3 linked regions of the Cricetulus griseus genome follow. The protein of the gene in region 3 interacts with the protein of the main gene of each other region in a pairwise test. Links are inferred from orthologs where the notes say so. Each region holds a gene or a part of one and is shown on either strand. Other genes may lie near its edges.

The links.
Region 1: the proteins of Ipo13 (region 3) and Pbx4 interact in binary tests that used the Homo sapiens proteins (3 or more experiments, as listed by UniProt). The link is inferred for Cricetulus griseus from reciprocal best matches to the Homo sapiens genes IPO13 and PBX4.
Region 2: the proteins of Ipo13 (region 3) and Pax6 interact in a two-hybrid assay, tested with the Homo sapiens proteins (2 studies listed by BioGRID and IntAct). The link is inferred for Cricetulus griseus from reciprocal best matches to the Homo sapiens genes IPO13 and PAX6.

The regions. Positions count from the first base shown.
Region 1 is NW_023276806.1:249,104,435-249,110,455, forward strand, and holds the end of Pbx4 (pre-B-cell leukemia transcription factor 4), read right to left. Parts: intron 4,128-6,021; coding exon 3,974-4,127; coding exon of another isoform or gene 3,948-3,973; intron 3,665-3,947; coding exon 3,558-3,664; intron 2,231-3,557; coding exon 2,138-2,230; 3' UTR 1,930-2,137; downstream 1-1,929.
Region 2 is NC_048599.1:72,001,959-72,009,663, forward strand, and holds the start of Pax6 (paired box protein Pax-6), read right to left. Parts: upstream 4,958-7,705; coding exon 4,948-4,957; intron 1,429-4,947; coding exon 1,211-1,428; intron 456-1,210; coding exon 414-455; intron 320-413; coding exon 104-319; intron 1-103. UniProt on the Homo sapiens protein: Transcription factor with important functions in the development of the eye, nose, central nervous system and pancreas. Required for the differentiation of pancreatic islet alpha cells.
Region 3 is NC_048595.1:34,417,406-34,424,327, reverse strand, and holds part of Ipo13 (importin-13), read right to left. Parts: intron 5,753-6,922; coding exon 5,612-5,752; intron 5,507-5,611; coding exon 5,365-5,506; intron 5,263-5,364; coding exon 5,096-5,262; intron 4,894-5,095; coding exon 4,773-4,893; intron 4,687-4,772; coding exon 4,539-4,686; intron 4,146-4,538; coding exon 3,964-4,145; intron 3,890-3,963; coding exon 3,863-3,889; intron 3,669-3,862; coding exon 3,534-3,668; intron 3,373-3,533; coding exon 3,229-3,372; intron 1,755-3,228; coding exon 1,674-1,754; intron 1,188-1,673; coding exon 1,050-1,187; intron 892-1,049; coding exon 795-891; intron 1-794. UniProt on the Homo sapiens protein: Functions in nuclear protein import as nuclear transport receptor. Serves as receptor for nuclear localization signals (NLS) in cargo substrates.

The sequences.
Region 1 (6,021 bases), on a different chromosome or scaffold from region 3:
AACTGAGGCTCAGAGGTTTCCTTTCAATCTGTTTAGATGGTTGGTGGAGTCTGGCGGCAGGATTTAGTTTTTTTTAGGTTGACTGCTCCCCCTTGTGGCTAAAGAGATAACTGCAACCTGTTCGAGGTCCCCTATGGTCCCTCCTGCTTTTGGTTGATTCTGGTCACTCTCTCTCTCACCCTGTCATCCGCCATGGCAGCAGGGGGCTTGAATGCACCCACGATGTCATCATGGAAATTCTTGAAGGTAAAACCTGCCCTCTCCAGTAAGACCCAGGCCCTATCCCTACTCATTCCTGGCGTCTCAGTTTCGTTAGCAGGACTGATTGTCTGGGTAACATGCCAAGAAAATGTGGTGGAGGAAGAGAGTGGGAGTCCTGAACTTTGACCCCTTCCCTCAGCCAGCCCTGCTTATTATCCCCTGCGACTTGAGGGTGGTCAGGGAGGGGATCCTTGGGGACTCCAGAGTATGCTTGGGGAACTGGGAAAGAAAGCTGCTGTCCTAATTCCATCCACTGGAGATTGCTGGAGGCCTGTGTGGGTGGAAGTTCCTGAGCTAATCCCACAAGGAATGCAGGTCATCCTTCTCAATTTTGTCATGCAGCTCCTGTCTCCCAAAATCCTCTTCTGTTATGTTTCTATAATTTGCATGATCCCACCCATTTGCATTAAATTTGCACCTTATTTGCATGACTCTTCTTCAATCTCCCTTCCTTGAGCCAGTTTTCCTGAGAAATCCTCACTCAGTTAGTTCTCCATTCAAAGGCCAAGAAAACTTATGATCTGGGTAGGGCTCACAGGGACTGTGGGAGTCTCAAAGTGAGGTGGTCAACAGCTTTAGGATGATGCTGGCTTTTGCCAGGTCTGTGCAGGCAACACTCTTCTCCACCTGTTCGTGTGCTCAGCTCACCCAGAGAAGTTTCCAGAATCTGAAGTTTTTTCCATGCAGCTCAAGAGTAGCTGGGAAGGTGTTCAATCCAAGGCTGTGCACCCAAAGGGTATGAAGGGGACAGTGATCAGTGACAGTGACCACTGCCTTCAGCAGCCCTGCACCTCAGCTGGGGTGTCTCCTAAGGTACCTTCCTCTATGGTGTTGCTCAGCTGTGAACAAGAATGAGGCTCTGGGAATTGGAAGGATATCTCAGTAGTTACGAACACTGGCTGAAGCCAGGTGGGGCAGTGGTGGCGCACATCTTTGATCCCAGCACTCATGGGGCAGAGGCAGGTGGATCTCTGAGTTCAAGGCCAGCCCGGTCTCCAGAGTGAGTTCCAGGACAGCCAGGACTACACATAGAAACCGTGTCTGCAACCCCCCCCAAAAAAATTAAAAAGACACTCTGATCCATTCTACAATGCAGCAAAACTAAAAAATACCAGTGACAGGGCTAGATATAGACGGCCACGTGGAGTGTGTGGCTCACTGACACTTAATAGCAGGTGAGTCCAGGTGAGTGGCTACCAGGCGTTGGGGAAGTGGGTGGGGAGACACTGGCATCCTTTGGTGGATGACAGTGTTCTGTCACTACAGGTGACAGCTGAAAGCCACTTCTCAGCCCCCAGAATCAGCAGGGTCACATGTGCAGATAAGTGGCAGAGTGCAGCTGCCTGGGTCCCAGAGACAGGATGGTTCCCATTTGCCATGGGCTTTTCCCAGGATGTTGTCACTGTTGTGATGGTGGCTGACAGGGTGGGGTCAGGGCCACGGGGATACTGGTAGGTGGCTCTCAGATGAAGGCTGAGAGGAGGCCCCTTAGCTGCCGCTGAGGGGACAAGGCCTCACATGGTGGGAACGCGGCCTCACAGCCCCTTTTAGCTGAAACAAATACTGAACCAGTTCCGAATCAAAGCAGGGGCCAGGAGGGTTAGAGCTGGTGACGGAATCTAGGTTGTCACCTATCACCCAGACAAGCCTGGAGTGAAAACACTGGAATGCAGACAAGTCAAACACTTTAATAAGGTGCTCAGAACAAAGCCCTAGATGAACAATCCACTGTCAACCAACATACTGTTGTTTAAAAATCACTCCAAGGTAGGTACGTAAGTGGCCAGGAAAAGGGTATTGCCACAGCCAGGGTTTCTGAGGTAATTGGCAGGACACAGGGCCAGTCATCCATGGCACTCAACCAGGTACCCAAAACTTAATTAGACACATCTGAGTTGAAGCTTCCAGAGTCTCCAGCAGGTGATGAGGGTGGCTGTGGGGCGGTGGCTCTCTGCCAGCTGCTGTGGGTCTGGAAAGACAGAGTGTGAACATAGGTGATCAGCCAGTCCCTGTGTCCCCAGGGTTACTCACAACTTTCTAGCAGATGAGTCTCAGAAAGAGCTGGCTGAGCAGTGGGGTGAAGGGGGCTACTGAGCCCCTAACCCTCCATGAAATACCTAACAGTGTGTCAGAACCAAGAGTCTAGCCACAGTGGCCTATGGAACAGCCATGGCTCATGGACAAGAGCCCTTCCTCACAGGCAGCCTCCTTCCTGTCTGTAGTGTGCATGGGCACAGTGCACATTGGAGCTGCTCTGCCCATCTGTCTGAGGACAGCTGGACGAGCGTGCTGAGCTCAGGGAACACTTGTACCAAGCAGAGCAGTGTGGCTGAGGTTCTATGAGTGAGGCCATGCAGGCATGCGCAGAAGCACCCACGTAACGGACAGTGGCCATGCAGGCAGAGTGACCTTTAAGAAGAGCCAGGTGAACAGAGGGACAGAAATGTTGGCTTGGAAATCTCAGCCCTCAGGAGAAAGAGGCAGGAGGCCTCTGTGAATTTGAGGCTAGCCTGGTCTACATAGTGAGTTCCAGGACAGCCAGGGCTACATAGAGACCCTGTCTCAAAAAAGCAAACAAGCAAACAAACAAAAAAAGGGTTTGTTTGGATCACATTTTAGCTGAAAATTAATGGAGGTGCAGGTGGGGTGCCTGCAGGGTGTGGCATCACCCCAGGTCTGACCCTCCATCTGCTCTGTGCTGTCCAGGGCAGGCAGCCTGTTGCCTCCCTCCAGTTTCTCCCCTACCCCTGCTGGTTCTGTTCCAGAGCACCTCAGCTCCAGGTATGTGAGAAGCAGGCCCAGACTACTTTGCAGCCTGTAGATTGTGTCAGGCTGGGTCTCACAGTGATGGCAGGCAGGGCCAGAGTGAGCCAGGCCCACCACTGTCCTGAGCCCCAGGTCTGGTTCAGAGGGGGCTTCTGGGAATCCCATGGGACTCATGGGGCCATGGCCAGTGCCACCATGCCAGGCTTCATTCTGTTTATGCAGTGCCCTCACAGGCCTTTCAGAGGAGGCTCAGGACAGACTGGGAGGTCACAGGACCTACAAAGGATTCAGATGATACCCTGAGAAATCTCTAGAGGTAGCTTGGCTGTTTAGACCCCAGTGACGAAACCCCAGTCTGGCAGCTGCTGCCCTTTCAGGGTGAGACGCCCTCTCCCATGTCTCCAGTCCCCAGTGACAGATGGCTCTGAGTCCAGAGGCTAACCACTCTCCTTCTCTGGAGACTCAGCATCAGGGTTCCTCTACTTTCCCAAAGCCCTAGAGGGGTCCCTAGGTGGCTGCAGCTGACTCACCGGGGGCTGGAGGCAGACTCCCCCAGGTGGGGGCTGGAGGAAGGCCAGGGTCCGAAGGGTGAGAACCATGTCACCTCCACTGGTCAGGGGGAAGGGGCCACAGGAACCTGTGAGGAGTGGGTGGAGTCAGGTTGGCATGGTGGGGGTGGAGGGTGTGAGTCACTGCAGAAGCTGGGCCAGCAGTCACAGGGATTTCTGGGTGGCAACTGCCCAGTCCCTCATTAAAAGGGACTCTAGAGCTGACTCCCTAAAGCATGTAGCCACCTGCTCTTCCCCTAGCCCTGTGTGGGTGACGCTGGCCCGTGAGGCTAAGGTGATGCTCTTGTCCCTCTGCTGGCACTGGCTGTCTAGGTCCGGGTAGTGTGAGTCAACCAAACCCCCAAAGCTTACAATTATGGAGGCCATGGCCTTGTCACCTGGGCTGGGTGTGGACTGGCAGCTGCTCTGGCCCCCTGAACCCCGGACTTTGGTGGCCGTAGATGTCTTCTCAGTGTACATGGTGGCCTCTTCCTGGAACTTCCCCGTGTTCTTTTTGTATCGGATTCTCTTGTTGCCGAACCAGTTAGAGACCTGTGGACAGATGCACAGACAATGGATGCAGTCCTGGTGTGGGCATGCTTGCTAGGTGGTGGTGGCACACTCCTTCCAGGCAGAGGCAGGGTGATCTCTGTGAGTTCCAGGCCAGCCTGGTCTACAGGGTGAGATCCAGGACAGCCAGGGCTACACAGAGAAACCCTGTCTCGGAAAAAAACAAAACAAAAAAACAAAAACCCAAAACAAAACAAAACAAAAAAAGAGGATGGGACTGCAGAGAAGGCTTACTAGATAAAGGGGCTTGCTGCCAAGTCTGTGGCCCGAATTCAATTCCTAGGAGCCACATGGAGGAAGTAGAGAAACACGTTGTCTTCTGATTTCCACATTCCTTCAGTGACAGGCACCACACACAGTGATAGGGACATGGATTAATGCATGGAGTGTGCACACACACACAAATAAGAAATACATAAATATAAAACATAAATACATAAATATAAAAAATAACCACCACTAAAATAAAAGACACTGGGCTTGATGGCTCACACCTGCTACCCTAGAGTGGGGGGCTGAAGCAGGAGGATTACTGTGAACTCAAGGTCATGCTGGGCAACACAGTAAGTTCCAGGTCAGCCTGAGCTAGGTGAGACCTGGCTTAAAACCCCACCTAACCTAACTGAAAAAAACAGGAAGAAGGCCCCAAAAACTCTGGCTCTCTGTTCTGCAAGGAGGGCAGCCACCTTCCTTGCAGACCTGGATGATGCTGAGGCCACTCTCCACCAGGCGTGTGTACTACTCTGAGATTTTTCCATTTTATGTGCATGGGTGCTCTGCCTGTGTGTGTGTGTGTGTGTGTGTGTGTGTGTGTGGTGTGTGTGTGTGTGTGTGTGTGTGTGTGTGTAGCATGTGCATGTCTGGTGCCCCTAGAGATGGAAGAGGGCACTGGGTGCCTGGGCCTAGACTTAAAGATAGTTGAGAGCTGCCATGTTGCCATCGGTCTCTCCAGCCCCACTTCACTACCACGGCTTTCTGTTCCCCCACTCCCTCTTCCTTTCCTTCACTCTTCTTCCTCCTTCTCTTCTTTTCCCAGACAGGGTTTCTCTGTGTAGCTCTGGCTGGCCTTGAACTCACAGAGCTCCGCCTGCCTCTGCCTCCAGAGCGCTGGGATTAAAGGCTGCATCACCAGGCCCAGCCCCAAGTTTCTCTTTCAAGATGAGGATCTGGCTGTTGCCCAGCTCCACTGGGATGCCTAGTTCCAGTACTTTCCTGCACAGCTGGGACACGGGCTACTTCCTGTGCATTGCCCCGGACAAGAGCAGAGTTTGTGTGTGGATGATGTGTCCAGGTTTGGACAGTGCTGAGTGGGAACCCAGGACACAGGGAGACCCCACCTCACTGCAGGTGGGGCTCTGGCATCAGTTCTAGGGTAGGGTCTGGCTCACTGGGACCCCTTTGGAGCCCCACCCTTCCCTCAGCCTGATGTGGGGCTGATCGTGACCCTGGCATCAACAGAAAGAAGTGCCTCCTACCCTACAGTGTTTCCTTCCTCTTGACTTCCCCTGAGGTGGCCCTCACAGCCTACTCACCTGCACCCCAAATTCAGAACCTCACTTCATTCAACTAATAGCTGACCACTTTAGTGGATGAGACAAGGTAGGGTGGAGCCGCTAACATAGAACTCAGTTGTTGCTGGGGATGGCCTCAGGGCCCAGATCACCCAAAAGGAGAGCCCTTGGAATGTGGCAAGGCCTTTAAAACTTGTTGACCTTGCTCCCTGGAGGACCTGGCATCAGAAACAGGGGGTCAGGGGTAAGGGTGTGGGGGGTAGGTGTAGGGGAAGCTGTAGCCACGCCTTCTTAGGGGCTGGCTACAGGAGTACCTGAGGGCTTGTGAGGGTGTGGTCAGAGTGAGTAGGGGGACTGCGTTTTCG
Region 2 (7,705 bases), on a different chromosome or scaffold from region 3:
ACAGCAAGACGTTGGGAGGGAAAAGAGTAGGAGGAGAGAGAGAAAGAGGTGGCAGAGTGAGGAGCTTGGGGACAAGGAAGGCAGATGTTCACAATGAACTTACACTGGGTATGTTATCGTTGGTACAGACCCCCTCGGATAATAATCTGTCTCGGATTTCCCAAGCAAAGATGGACGGGCACTCCCGTTTATACTGGGCTATTTTGCTTACAACTTCTGGAGTCGCTACTCTTGGCTTACTACCTCCGATTGCCCTGGGTCTGATGGAGCCAGTCTCGTAATACCTGCCCAGAATTTTACTCACACATCCGTTGGACACCTGCACAGGGGAAGTGGACAGAAAACCACATTATTAATAATTTCAAGACAAAAATAAAATTGTTTAAGTATGCATTAAACAATGACAAGCTTACGTTTTCATTGTCCAGCACTTGGACTTTTGCATCTGCATGGGTCTATAACACAAAAATATACCTTCAATGGTATGAGAACTTACTGTAGAGAGCTTTTTTTTTCTTAAAATTACATTTGTAGCCCTAAAACTACAAATATAATGATACTTTCAAACACTTTGAATTGTTTTAAAAAGCTTTTTAAACTATTTTCCTAAACACTGTGTGAAGATTCATTAAAACGAAGTCAGGTTAAGTGTGTGTGTGTGTGTGTGTGTGTGTGTGTGTGTGTGTGTGTGTATGTATGTGTGGAGAGTTTGCTTTGAGTAGTATTAAATTGTAAAGAACAAAAGGAAAAATAATTGCATTTTTACCTTTTTTCCCTTAAATTTGAATGTGAATGTGAATTAGAGGGTTAAATAGCAACTGCCTTCTAAAATCCATATACATTCTTCATGTGCATGAAGAATGCAAACAAATCTCTCAAAATCTGAGGTTAGTGAGGGATGGGGAGAGGGGAGTGAGATTATCCCAATTTATATAACTTGGCTCATTACAGTTTATATACTGTTACCATAATGAATGTCTTTACCAAATGAAAAGATATATATATATATATATATATATATATATATATATATATATATTTTTTAATTCACACACTTTTTCCTTACAAGGATGAATTATCTTATGTAACTGACTGATTGAGGTTGAAAGAGACAGGGACCATGGTGGAAGGAGAGGGAAGAGCCGGGAGGTAGGGGAGTTGGTAGGGATGAAGTGGGTGAGGGTAGGGGTCCATTCTTAGTAGCGTTTACAGTAAGAAATGAAGAGAGGACATTTAAAGTGGAGGGCTGTGAGGGCGGGGGAAGGGGCGGCGAGTGGGGCAGCCACGGGAGGATCACCTGCAGAATTCGGGATATGTCGCACGGCCGGGCCCCGCTGTGAGCTAGCTCTACGATCTTCTGCCTGGTGGAGTCCGGCAGTGGCCGCCCGTTGACAAAGACACCACCAAGCTGATTCACTCCGCTGTGACCTGAGGAAAGGAGGAGGAGAGGAGAGCAAGAAGAGAAGTAGAGGGAAGAGAGAAGAAGAAGAAGAGGAAGAGGAAGAAGAAGAAGAAGAAGAAGAAGAAGAAGAAGAAGAAGAAGAAGAAGAAGAAGAAGAAGAAGAAGAAGAAGAACAATGCAACCTCAGCTCCCTGCCAACCTGTGCGAACCTCAGCAATCAGGTCCTGGTTTAAAATTAAAACAACAACAACAACAACACAACAGGACCACCAGCCATGCAGGGCATTGGGTAGCCCAGCCTCAAATACAGACTGATCCTGCCCATTGACCTGTTGTCAGACTGGGGAAGATACTCAGGAACATATCCACCCAGTATCACCTTCACCTAACAGTTCCCTGAGCCCATTGCCCCCTTCATAAGCACTCCAGACCTGCTTGGAACCCATAAGAGGCAAACAACAGTTCTTAAAATCTTCTCCCTAAGCATCACCTCTAAGTGTCACCACAGAGTCCACACTGCAGTCTCGGCCCTGTTATAACAGCACAGCAAATCCCAAGCCTTGTAATGGCTGGGCGCAAAACGTCATAAAACCTTTGCATCGTGATTTAGCTCTGGCAGAGGCGCACAGCATATAGCTCTGTGTGTGTGTGTGTGTGTGTGTGTGTGTGTGTGTGTGTGTGTGTGTGTGTGTGTGTAGAGAAAATGACCCGAAAGATAAATGTGTAGCTAGCGAACCCCAATCCGTTCCTCCACACCAAACATAGGATTGGAAACCCCCATCCACATAGTGGTCTGCCTGCCCCAATTGGGGAGCAAAGCCTGGAGTCTTTGCACCGCTACTCGCTTCACTTCCACTGCTGAACTCCGCCCTCCCCCTCAGCCAAAGACGCAATATTAACTAACAGAAACCCAAAACAGAAAGAGAAAAGGACCACATCACAGTGTCACCCGTCCCTCCTTCAACTCTTATCTCACAACCTCAGCCCATTGTCTGGTCTTAGAGACTAGGGCGAGGAAGGAGCGCCTCCCTGAATTATCCTCCTCGGAAACAACAGCATACAAATAAAACCAGTCCCCTCTTGCCACTTCCTCAGACATCTCCAACCTGCAGCCCCGTTTCTAGACAGAAGCCCTCTCAGGAGAAGATGTGGTTCCCAGCTCCTCTCTTCTCTCCTCTCTTCTCTCTCTTCTCCTTGGAGCCTCCTGATAAATTGACTCCAAGAGCCTGTGCTTCTTAGCAATAAATAAGCTCCAAATATAGAAGAGGGGGGAAAATATGATGAGCCTCTCTGACATTTGTCTTTAAAATAAAACTAGCTGCACGTCAAGTTTGAGCTTAATTTCTGGAAATAGGCGGAAGTCGCTCCGGATCATGCATGGAAGGCTAATTGAAAAGATCAGTCGGGGCGCTTGTGGCAGCCTTGTCACTTTGTGACAGTGCTCCGCTCCGGGAAATTGCATCGTCACGACAAACGGGACCGTGATAAAACGACCCTTTCCGTCCCTATTTGTAGATCACTCAGACGAGAATGAACTGTACTCGTCTCCCCTTCGAGGGGAGCTGCGTTTTCTGGGTAGCCCGAGGCTTGGGGCTGGAGGGGGGTTATAGCTCACCGAGGGGGGGCGGGGCCTCAATTGGATGAGAAGTGACAGGCGTTTAGGGATCTGGGCTCCGGCCGGGCCGGGCCAGTGCAAGAGGGTACATTGCACATTGCAGGAGACAGGTCGCTTCTCCAACATAGCAAGGCCTACCCTGCGCTTCCGGTTTCTCTTTAATTTTCTTTATCGTCCACGTTGGTTTTCTAAGTCTCATTTACCATGCAATTTATGGAGGCCGGTCTCTGGGCAAACCTTCTCAAAAAGGAAAGGCCATCTCAGAGAAACTTTCCAAGCAGCAGCCAGGATAATTCCTAGTCTACAGATGCTAGAGCATACAAGGCCTCTAATCGTAGATTTTTTTTTCCTCCTCCTTTATTGCAAAAATAACGTGGCCAGTAAGTACCTCCACAGCTGCAGCCCGCATGTGCTGGTCCGAGAGACACTGGGCCAGGGTGCCTCTGCCAGCATCGAAATGGCAGCGAGGAAACATAGCTCTAAATTCCCCTTTAGAGGTTAAGCCTCAATCATTGTGTCCCTTCCCTAGGGACTGCTGGCGTTCTCGCCCAGTGGCGATGATTATGCGCCTAGAATTCGACCGCAAAGCTTCTAATAGGAAAACATATGGTGTCAATTTGGATGCTCTGCGCCTTGCGCACACTCGGGAACCAGCCACACAAAGCCTACAGGCCAACCCGCGACCCGTGCCCCTCTGGGCCTGCCAGCCAGGTCATGGTGGAGGGGCAAACGCTTGTGGCTGAGCGCCTCTGCCCACCTGAAAACCTAAGGCAAGAGAGTCAGAGCTCCATGGTATTCGCTTCGCCAAGGAAAGTGCCTCCTGGGCCAAGCCCTAGGATCTGACAGGTTCTGTAGAAACACAGCTGCAAAGCACCCATCTTTGATCTCTTTCCTGAGTTTAGCCCCCCCACCCCATCCTGTGGCATCATCAGGGCAGCCAGCTATTACAGAACGTGGACCCGAGCTGCTGGGAACTCTATTAAGCCAGTACAGCTCCATAACTGCATGTTTCTAGAAGACCTAGGCCTCTCTACACGCCCAAGCACAGTTGTATCCTTAAGCCTGTGTAGACTCCCTAACCCTAACCCGGCCTAGTTTCACTAGCTGCCAGGCTTGAATTTTTTTTTTTTTTTTTTTTTTTTGGCTTAACTCTGTCATATACCAGCAGCCATTGGCTAAGCAGAAAGGTTAGGCCCCAAAGGGCCTGGCCAAAGGTTAGAGAAAGGCACAAAGGCTGTGGAATCAAAGGTACTAAGAGACTGGATCAACGAGGACCCACGTAGCTGCACTTGCTAGTGCAAGGTTTTCCCAATTCCTGACCAGCCCCAATAAACCCTGCTTTCAACACCTTATGCGGGGCTGGGGGGGTCTCCCCATCACTGGCCCTGGGTGCTCCACTCCCCTTCCCTTTTAGGCCTATAGCTAGGGGGGGAAGGGGAGGGGAGGAGCTGGCCTAAGATTGACTAGGGGAGGGAAGGCCCCCCAACACACACACCCCTCAGGGTCGTAGGAGATGTTCAGTCTTGGCCAAGCCCAAAGGGGCCTCCTTCTCTTCTCAGGAGAAGCCTTTGCCCCGCCCTACTCAGCCCAGCCCCCCTCTCTGGGGTCAGAGCCCGGGCAGGGGCGGGGAGGGGGTATGAGTTACAGGATTTGGGGGGATGGGGTTTCTCCACCGCAGCTTCAAAAACTCGGGCCAGTAGTTTTGAAGAGCCCCAGCTTCTTCCCTTCTAGAGCACAGCAGAGCAAATGCCTCCCTACCCTCCCTCGCTGGCTACTTGGCACTCAACGCGTGCAGCCCAAATAAATTCCCCAGGCCTCCTCCCTCTCGCCCAGTGGCCTGGAGTCCCCAGGGCCCAAGACTCTGTGTACCCCCCTAACCGGTCGGCACGCCTCCAGCCCAAGAGTCCAGGGAAAGACCCGAGACACTCACTGTTCTGCATGCTGGCGCTGGTTGGCGGCCTCCGGGTCCCACGGGGCTCGAATGCGGGGCTCTGTTAGTAAGAAAATTGGAGTTAATCCCCGGCTTTGCACAGGTAGGCCTGCACTCCTACTGAGGAAGACCTGGTGGTGCCTGCACTGGAGATTCCTCCTTTTCTTAGAAATTGAGCTACTCAACCGCTTGGGGCGATCTGAGGGTCAGCTAGCCCTGTTCTCCTATGCATGCAAAATGTACTTTGGGAGCTACGGATAAAATAATCTAACATTCACAATCAGTTTCCTCAAATATTTTTGTTCTTAGCCTTTTAATCAGAACAAACGATGATCCCAGTTTTTTTTTTGGGGGGGGGGTCTACCAGAACTATGGTTTTTTAAAAAACTCTTTCAGAATGTGAAGCCCCAAACAGCATCATAGAACTTGCCTGAAAACTGAGATGTATGTCCACTCTTAGAATAGAAGATCTCACACATCTGCTCACCTCTAGTTAAAGTCTTCTGCCTGAGATAAAACAGAGGGAAAGAAAGGTATATGTCAGCTTGGCCCCAACACATAGGTTGACTGGTAGTCTGAGGCCCACTCTCAACCCACAGTGAATCCAGGGTTGGCTCCTTCTGCTTGGAAACACTAAGGCGTCACACTTGCAGTGGCCTCTCCTACAGACACCAACATCCTTCGGAAACGGTGCTTTGGCTAGGCTTGGTTGGGTGAATTGGGGAGACTAGAGTTGTGGTCTCGCTTTGCAAAACTAATAAGCACCAGGGAAAGAGGAGGGCTTAAATCCGAAAAGCCAAGAGTGGAGTAGAAACCGAACTGGGTAAGGAAAGCAACTAACCCCTGAAGTGTGGAGGTGAAAGGAATCTTAAGGTCTTGGTGGTGCCTGAGCGCCCGCTTGGGTTAGAGAAGTCTCGGGAGTGAGCCTCAGACCAGACTCCCTCCATTCCTAAGGAATTTCAGCACCTCAGTTGTCCCAAGATCCCTAGAACTTAAGTTCTTTGGTTAGTTACTCTTTTATCCTTCACTCCCCCCACCCTACCCCCAAAGTCTTCTGGTCAGACCCCCACAACCAATCTCTCAGCTCTTTCAGGACTTAGCAAGTGGTGAGCCCAACTTTTTACCCTAAACCTCATTTATTGTAATTAACTTTGCTTTTAGTGTTTAGCTCTTTCTCTCCTTTCCTGTACTGTGACACTTGCTGTCTACCTCGCCTCACTGCTTTAAAAACTACAAACAGGAGGGGGTGAACACGGTCTACAAAGTCTACAGACACCGAACAATGGCTTCTATTCCGCAGCTTTCCCCAAACCCAAAGAGCAAAGCTGAGACTCTCAAACCAGCAACACCAGGTCCAAGCAAAGGAACCACAACTCTCCAACTCACAAAGGGAAAAGATGGACTCTTCTCATTGAAGTCCTGACCCACTATAGTACCCTCCAATGCTTCCAACCTGCTCACCCTCCCTACCTTCCCGCAAAAAAAGAGGGTTCTTGGAAGAGAGGTGGAAAAATAGTAATTTCTTGTTATAAATATCTGGAGGTAATTGTGTTGCTGGTGTGAGTTGTTAGGGGCTGTAAAAAGATACAAGGGCACCGTGGGGAGCTCAATTGGGAAGGGAGAGTTACAATAAAGAGCCCATTCAAGAGGTTTGCCCAGGAAAAAGGGAGGGTTAAAATAATGAAATAGTCACAGCATCATTTTTGTTTTATTTTAAGAAATCATTCTTTTTCCTGTGTTGGACTGTGATGATGGTTAATTTTGCCACTCTACAAATAATTCCAAGAAATACATTTTTCTCTTCAAGACATTTTATGACCTAACTTTTAAATAACTGAGAGGCAGCCATAAAAATAAGTTCAGCATGGGGACTTTTTTTCAGTGTCTGATTATGACAGGACATACCAGAGAGCTAGGTACCCGAAACGAGGTTGGGTCTCCTAAAGCCTCCCTATCTCTAGGTCAGTTCCTGAATCCAAGATCATGTCATGAATGGAAATCCCACCCAGAACAAAATGTCCATCCTACCTACATATAGGACTTAAGCTGCAAAGGGTAGCAGGTGGATAGAGATGGGGCAGAATTCTGCTTGGAACAGCAAAACTTCCTGAGTGCCTCTCTAACCACATTTTACACAGCCTTATGTCCACATCCTGGCTGGGACCTCCACAATGCCATTTTAGAAAATTGTCTAGCTGGTCACTGAAAGAGCTAGCTGATTACTTTTCCAAGCAACAGGGAAGGTGATAGCATTTCAGGTTCCGGTTTTGCTTGGTTCCCACCCTCCTCTCCTCTAAGAAGCTATCTAATTACCTAAGTAATCGTTAACACTCAGTGCAAAAAGCACCCTGGGAAGCAGGGCACACCCCAAACCCGGAAGCAGTCCTGTTCTTAGAGAAGCTAGACCCCTTTGCCTTAGAGGGGACATAGACCTTTATCAGGAATGAAGAAGTCTCCAGAAATCTCCAAGGCTACAAGGTCTTGGTCCACAAGTCCACTGGACACCCACCCTCCCCACTCTCTGACCCCAACACAAGCCAGAGCTTTCACACTATGCAGTTGTTTTAATCATTTAGATTTCAAAATCTAACCCCATATTCCTTAGCTGAAGTGTTAGGAGAAACTTGGTTTCTCCCCTAGTGATTCCCCTCCTAGAAATTAGCAATTAAGATGACAACGTTTACTCTCCAGGGCCAAATGATAACAACGAATCAATTGCTTTCAAATATATGCAAAGATCACCAGCAACTCCTCAGTC
Region 3 (6,922 bases):
ACACTAGGTTTCTTTCCACTTTGGATCTGCTCCATGGTCCACAAAGGACCAGGCATTAACAGTATGAGATGGGAGCAATCTGGGCTCCAGCTGAGACCTCCAGCTGGCCTCAAAGCTCAAATCCAGGCTAGGCTCATGGAGCTGAGGAATAGCATTGCTTCTGTCACAGGTCAGAACCTGGGCTAGACGGGAAACCTGAAGGCCAGTTTCCAACTCTCTCAGACAGAGGGTCACAGAAAGAGGAACTTTGGGCTCAGAAAGGACTAAACTTTGATATGGGAAAAGGAATCGGCACTCTTGAGTATGTCATATACAAAAGCCCAAGCCAGGACCTAAGGAACTAGAATGCCTGACATGATTTGGAAACAGGGGTCAGTGAAGGTAAGTGACTTGCCCAAGGTCACACAACTAGTTTGGTGGCGATGAGCTTAGATTCTAGGTCTACCTGGTTTCAAAGCCCATGCTCCTCCAACTTCTCAGTACATCTCAAAGGCACTGAGCCAGACTAGTGTTCCAAGTCCCTCAGAGTCTGAGCCCAGCTTCCCCCAGTATCCAGGCTGGCCTGGAGCGCAGGCAGGCTGTAAAAGATACCATTCACCATCTTATCCACTTCAAATCTAAAAAAATCAACTACTTAGAGGTAACAATTGTACCGTGCTTCATCCCCAAGTTTCTCATCAAGTCCCATGTGTGATCAGGGGATCAAGAACAGAGTGGGTGGCTTTGGTTCCCCAGTGGAGGAAGCAGAGGTAGTGGCAATGGCGGCGGCAGCAGAGACCCTAATTGGCACTTACCTTGCTGGAAGAGAGTGAGAGTGACGGAAGTGACCAGCAGGAAGAGGGCCTCTATTGGGGGAAAGTGGGCGGGCTCATGGGCAAAGATGTGGACCAGCTACAACAAAGGATGGAAGGGTGGTCAGCTGAGGTCCACCTCACAGGACAGATCAACATCCCTGGAACACAGGTGGGCAGGGACACCCCCCCACCCAGGGTCAGATCTCTAACTAGGGTGACATCCGGAGTACCAATTGCCCAAACCAGAAGGCCTACCTGCCGAGTGAGGTCAAGAGCAGAGGCCTGGGGGATGGTGCTATACATCCGACCCAGCATCTCACAGAGCTGTGGCACCATGGGGGCAAAGTCATCCAGCAGTGTCTTAACAGACTTTTCAAAGATGGCACACACTGCCTGAGGAAGAAAGCAAAGAGACCCTCGTCAGCAGGTCACAGGAGGGAGGACTAAGAAAAGGCCCTTACCCAGAAGTCTGGCAAAGCCCTTCAAACCAAGCAAGGTAAATAATCTATTCCTCAGCCTGAAAAGAAGGGGCAAAAGGCTCTCCACAGAGGAGCACAGACTCAGACTAGGTCATTTAACTCCTGTGACACGTGTCGATACCATTTCCTCTCAGGGGACAGTAAGAGCAACCGAAATCTCAACTCAAAAGGATACAAAGCCAGGTCTCTGGTGCTACAACAGACACCCTAAGTCACTAAGGCCCTAAGGTCACTATCGTTTCACCCAGCACTTCTGTGATACTGAGGTAGGTGTGTCAGGGTTGTAGTCTTCCTTCCTTATTCTCTCCAGACCACTACAAGAAGCATTGAGGCACCAAATCCTTTACTCTGGCTCATTTGGCCAAAATCAGCCTAGGGAGCAGAGAGGGTCAGGGCTCACCTCAACCACCTGGGCATCGTTCAGCCACTTGCTCAGCACCTTCTGGATGAGCTGGAAGACTTGCTGTAGCACGACCACCACCTAAACACACAGGGAGGAGTGAGGCACCACCTCTGCCATCCACCCAAGGACCTGGCAGGGGGCAAAGGGCTCAACCCATCACCCTGCACACTGAGATGTGGTACATAGGACCCTCGGGGCAAGAATTGGTTAACCCCCCCGGCAATGAAAGAGAATATTTTGAGTTGTAGGTCATTTTCAGAGGAAGACTCAGAACTTCAAAGCAGAGACATCCTAAGCTCTTGATAAAATTGAGATACCTTTGCAAACATAACAAAACAAAACAAAAACTCACTCTCTGTTTACTTCTGCTTAGAAATACCAAAGCAATGGGCTAGCCCCTGAGGAGGAAGAGATGCTGTCTCACCCAAGCAGGCGTGGGGTAGGGAGCCCCAAGGGATGCGTAGATACGGGCAGCTTATGGCAGAGCAGAGAGCAGGCTGAGGTCCTGGGAGATAGGGAAGGCAGGATGATGACTGCCACAGAAGAAAAGGGGGGCTCTGCGGGATGGTGGTGGCCCAGGCTTGGCCTCGAGCCCAAATGGTAACTGAAGCTGAGGTGTGGAGATGAACAGAGGCCAGTGTGTCCCTGGCTTCTTTTTTTCCAGGAGAAGGTCTGGGGCACGCAAGATCAATGACCAGAGCAGCCCCTGGTATTTGTTTAGAACTTTACAGTCTGACAACCTCTCTTACTTAAGACCCCTCAGCTCCAGGTCCTGCAAAGAGCAGATGAAGACCCCAGCAGCCACAGCTTTAAGAGGGAAACTGAGGCTTGTCCCAAATCAGACAGCTTATAAGAGGTCACTTCAAGGACTGGGGTGGAGCTTGGTGGCAGAATGCTTGCCTAGCATGTCCAGAGCCCTATGTTCAATCTCTAACACCATAAAAAGGAAACATCCAATTACAAATGCCTTTGATCCCAGGACTCTGGAGGGAGGCAGAGGCAGGAGGATCTCTGACTCAAGGGCGGTCTTATTTACATAGTAAGTTCCAGGCTACCAGGGCTACTTAGCAAGACTCTGTCTCAAAAGAAAATCAAAAGTGAAAAAGCAAAGAGGTCATCCCAAACCCATGCCTAAGTTATCATGGTGCTCAGCACTCAGCCCTGTAACAATCTCTTCTGTGCATCTCCTCTCAGTGGGGAGTAACTTGAGTGCCTGCAGCAGACAATGAATGCTCAAGTAGGAGGGCCTAAAGAGACAGGGTTAAACATTAGCTCATTACACAGCTCAATGGTACTGAAGGATAATGTCAGTGTCCCTTACTGGTGGGGCAAATAAACCTCAATGACATCACCCCAACTGGGCTGAAGACAAGGGAAACATCTAATACAGGATGAGGGATGCAATGACATGGCTACATATAAAGTGGTGGGCCAAAGGACCAAATGCATGACCTCTATGGGGTCAGGAAGCAATGCCAACGCTATCTACAGGGTTAGAGAGTGATAGACATTCCCACAAGGAAAGGGGAGTGGCAAAGACAATGTCACCTACTGGGTTGGGTCCCTGTGGCACTGGTAGCTTCCGGAGCTCAGGGCCTTCGTGATCATCCTCATGATGACTGACATCCAGTGTGGTGAAGAGATTGGAAAGAAGCCCCAAGATGTGGACAATGGCCAGTTTGTTGGAGGGATTCGGCTATGGGTAGAATAAAATCAAGCTTCAGACTTCTGAATCTCAGCCTAGGGGCCAGATCACTCAACACCGAGCCTGAGTGCCAATTCCAACATCCCCACGCCTACGCCCACAGAGAAACCCCTGGGTCCCAGTGCTGCCCCAGGTCCCCAGAGCTCACTCACTATCTCTTCTGCCAGCTTCTCCAGCTGTTGGATGTAGGGAGAGATGAGTGAGTGCAGGTTCTTCAGGATCTCCTCCACCTGCAGGGCTGACAGCAGGAAGCCCAGTGCCTGCATTAGCCACATGCACTGGCTTGTCTGTGGGGCAGAAAACAGGGATGGTCCACCTGACCACATCTTCTTGTGAGTAGAAAGGAGAATGAGCCTCTTGGGGAGGATTATAAGAACAAAGAATAAGAGGTGAAGTGGGGAGAAGGGAAAAGGGTAGGATTTAGGAATAAGCAATTCCCCACCAAAGATCCAAGGAGACCCCTAGAAAGCTTGAGCCGTACCTTGTGGATCTGCTTCATCAGCACATCCTGGGAGTAAAGAATAACATATTAGGGTGGAGCAGGGCACTCTGAGACCCAGCACCATCGGGGGCACCACATACCTGGGAGACAGCTACAATGTTGGCAGCATAGGGTGGCAGGTCATATTTGCACTCCCTGCAGATCTTTTTGAGGGTAGACACAGAAGACACAGATAGCTCAGGGTTGCCTAGGGCATGCAGCACAAGGGGCAGAACATTGTTGATCATGACGGGGTGGTCAGCCAACCATTCAGACAGAGCTCCTGGAGGAGAAGGGAAAGAGAAGGCTCTCTGAGGCAGGCAAGGCTTTAGGGATGGTTAAGTTACAGCCTCAGTGCATCCAGAGTGATCAGAGGACCGTGTGGGCATAAAGGCATTGACGCTCAAACATGACCCTCACCGCTGAAAAGCAGAAAGGGATTACTCAACAGAGGCCCAGCACTGCTGCTCCACTGACTGACAGCAAACTAGCATCACTGAGATGCAGCTCAGTGCACTGCAGAAAAGACTTGCCAGGACAGTTAGTTGGCTGCAATGTTGACTGTGTGGGGGGAGATGTATCTCTCTCAGTTTGGAGGGACCCAGCAGGCCAGCCATGCTTAGGTATGGGTGCTGTAGCTCTAAGAATGTGGTCGTGGATGTATGCCAGGTCTCACCAATGGTGAACATGACAGTATCTGCCAGCTGCACGTTGCTGATGCTGATCCGTGGGATGAGGCCAATGAGCCCGGGCACCACATCAGAATAGTTGACATCGATGGTCTCCGCGATGGATTGGAAGCCATAGAGCAGGGCCTCTGTGTGCTGGGGAAAGAGGGTGCCACTGGCTTGACTTAGGAGGAGGGTGTAGCAAGTTAGGGAGGGCAGAGGGAATCAGGTTTGGGAGGTACCTGCCAAGAGTAGGGCTCCTCTGAGCTGGTGAGCAAATGGCCCAGCTTGTCATAGAGGTTGCTAAGCAGCTCGGCCCCCAGCATCTCATAGACATACATGAGCGTGTCTGAAATGTCCACCCTGAAAAGCAGATGAAGGCCTGTTACACTGCTTGGGTCTTTAACATAAGCCAGGAACCTACCCAGGGACCCTCACAACCCTGCAAAATTGCCTAAAGGCTAGGAAAAGAAATCCCCAGAAGTCAGTAAGCTTGGCTGATTGCCTCTTCCCTTGTTTCATTACTTAAGACTGTTTAGAGTGAGGGTTGACTTGCTACCATCACCTGTAAATTCGGAACTGCTCCTTTTCATCTGAGGACCAGAATCCATATTCCTCATCGGAAGGGAACTGGGCTTTGCGCAAAAGCACATCCACCAGCTTGAAGTAGACTGGCCGGTACAGCTGCTGGTACACAGCCTGCTTCTCTGCCTCAAAGGACAGAATGTCATCCTGAGAGAGCCAGGGAAGACAGTCAGTCACCTCACCAGCAACCACAGAAGCATGGTCCACCTTCATGAAGGACCAGTCTGTCTGGTGGTCACACAGACATACCTGCAGTGTGTACCAGAAGGTGAGAGTGAGGGAGCTGGTGGTCTCATTGACAGGATAATGACCAGGAATGCCAGTGCAGAACATGATCATGTTGACGAGTTCCAGGAAGCTCCGCCAGTGCTCTACTTGGTCTAGCAAGGCCCTGGGGTGGGAGGAGAGTTATCTCACTAGACCTCCCCAATGAGGGTCCGTAACCTTAACCTTTAATGGACCCTGCCATCCCACCAGCAGCTGCCCCACTGCCTACCGAGAATGATTCTCGCCCAGGGCCACAGCAATGCGACAGATGCCATGGGAGGTCTCCATGTCCCCATTCTGAACTGCCTGTTCCAGTTGTTCCTCCAGTCCCAGAACCAGCGGAATGAGTTTCAGGAGTGTGTTCACATACCTAGAGGCATGAGGTAAGGTGACCCATCAGAGCTGTCTGCCCAACCCCACCAGCTTTGAGAGAGAGGCACAATTTCCCTGTCTTCTACCAAAGTCTTCCTATCAAAAAGAGGCCAACGCTGTTTTGATGCTGCTCATGCTGAGAACATTAGGTCAGATATCTTCGGGAGAGCTCTGGGAAGGAAGCACAAGAAAGTCTGAGATATAGGTTGAAGTACTTCCTCCAGCAGGACTGGAAGCTGATGCTGAGATGGGTTAGTGCTCAGAGGGAATTAGGGAGAAGAGAATGCATTTTTGTGTGAGGGTGGCATGAGCTTTGGAAGCCCAGAGTGCAGATTGTTATAGGTTGAAACGTACATCTCCTAACAAGGTATGCTGATGGGCTGGTGAGATAGTTCACCTCATATAATCACAAAGACGAGAATTTGATCCCCATAATATGTGCCAAAAAAGCTGGGTATACTTGTGATGCCAGCAGTGGGGAGATGGACAGGAGGATTCCAGAGGCTTGCTACTGGCCTGTCAGGCTAGCCTACTTGGTAATCTCTAGCCAGTAAGAGGTCCAGTCTCAAAACAGAAGTTATATGGCTCCTTAGAAACAACACCAAGACTGTTATGCACATACACAAAAAGATAATGTTGGCATCCTATCCCCCAGTACCTGAAAACGTGACCCTGCTTGGGAAAAGCATCGTTGTAGATAAAAACATACTAGAAGTGTACTCCTAATCCAGTATGACTCGTGTCCTTACAAGACAGCCATGCGATGACAGATGCGTCATGGGACAATGCCAAGTAAAGAGAAAGGTAAGCACTGGCACTTGCAGCTGCAAGCCAAGGAATGCAAAGCTGCCAGCCAACCACTAGGCAGGAGGCGGCTGGGAAGAAGTCTTCTATGGGTTTCAGCGGAAGCACAGTCCTACTGACACCTTGCTTTCAGACGTCTAGCCTCCACAACTGTCAGGCCATTTCTGTCATTCAGAGCCATCCGTTTGCAGTACTTTGTTATTGTGGCCCCTAAAAGGAACACAGTTAGTGTCAGGAGACACTGGACAAGGGTATTCATGTCAGGAACACCATTAAAGAGGACTTTGGAAGGTAGTGACAGCTCATAAGGGCATCAGTTCCCATTGGCTGTCACCAAGTCCCAACTCCTGTGTCTGGTGGCAGC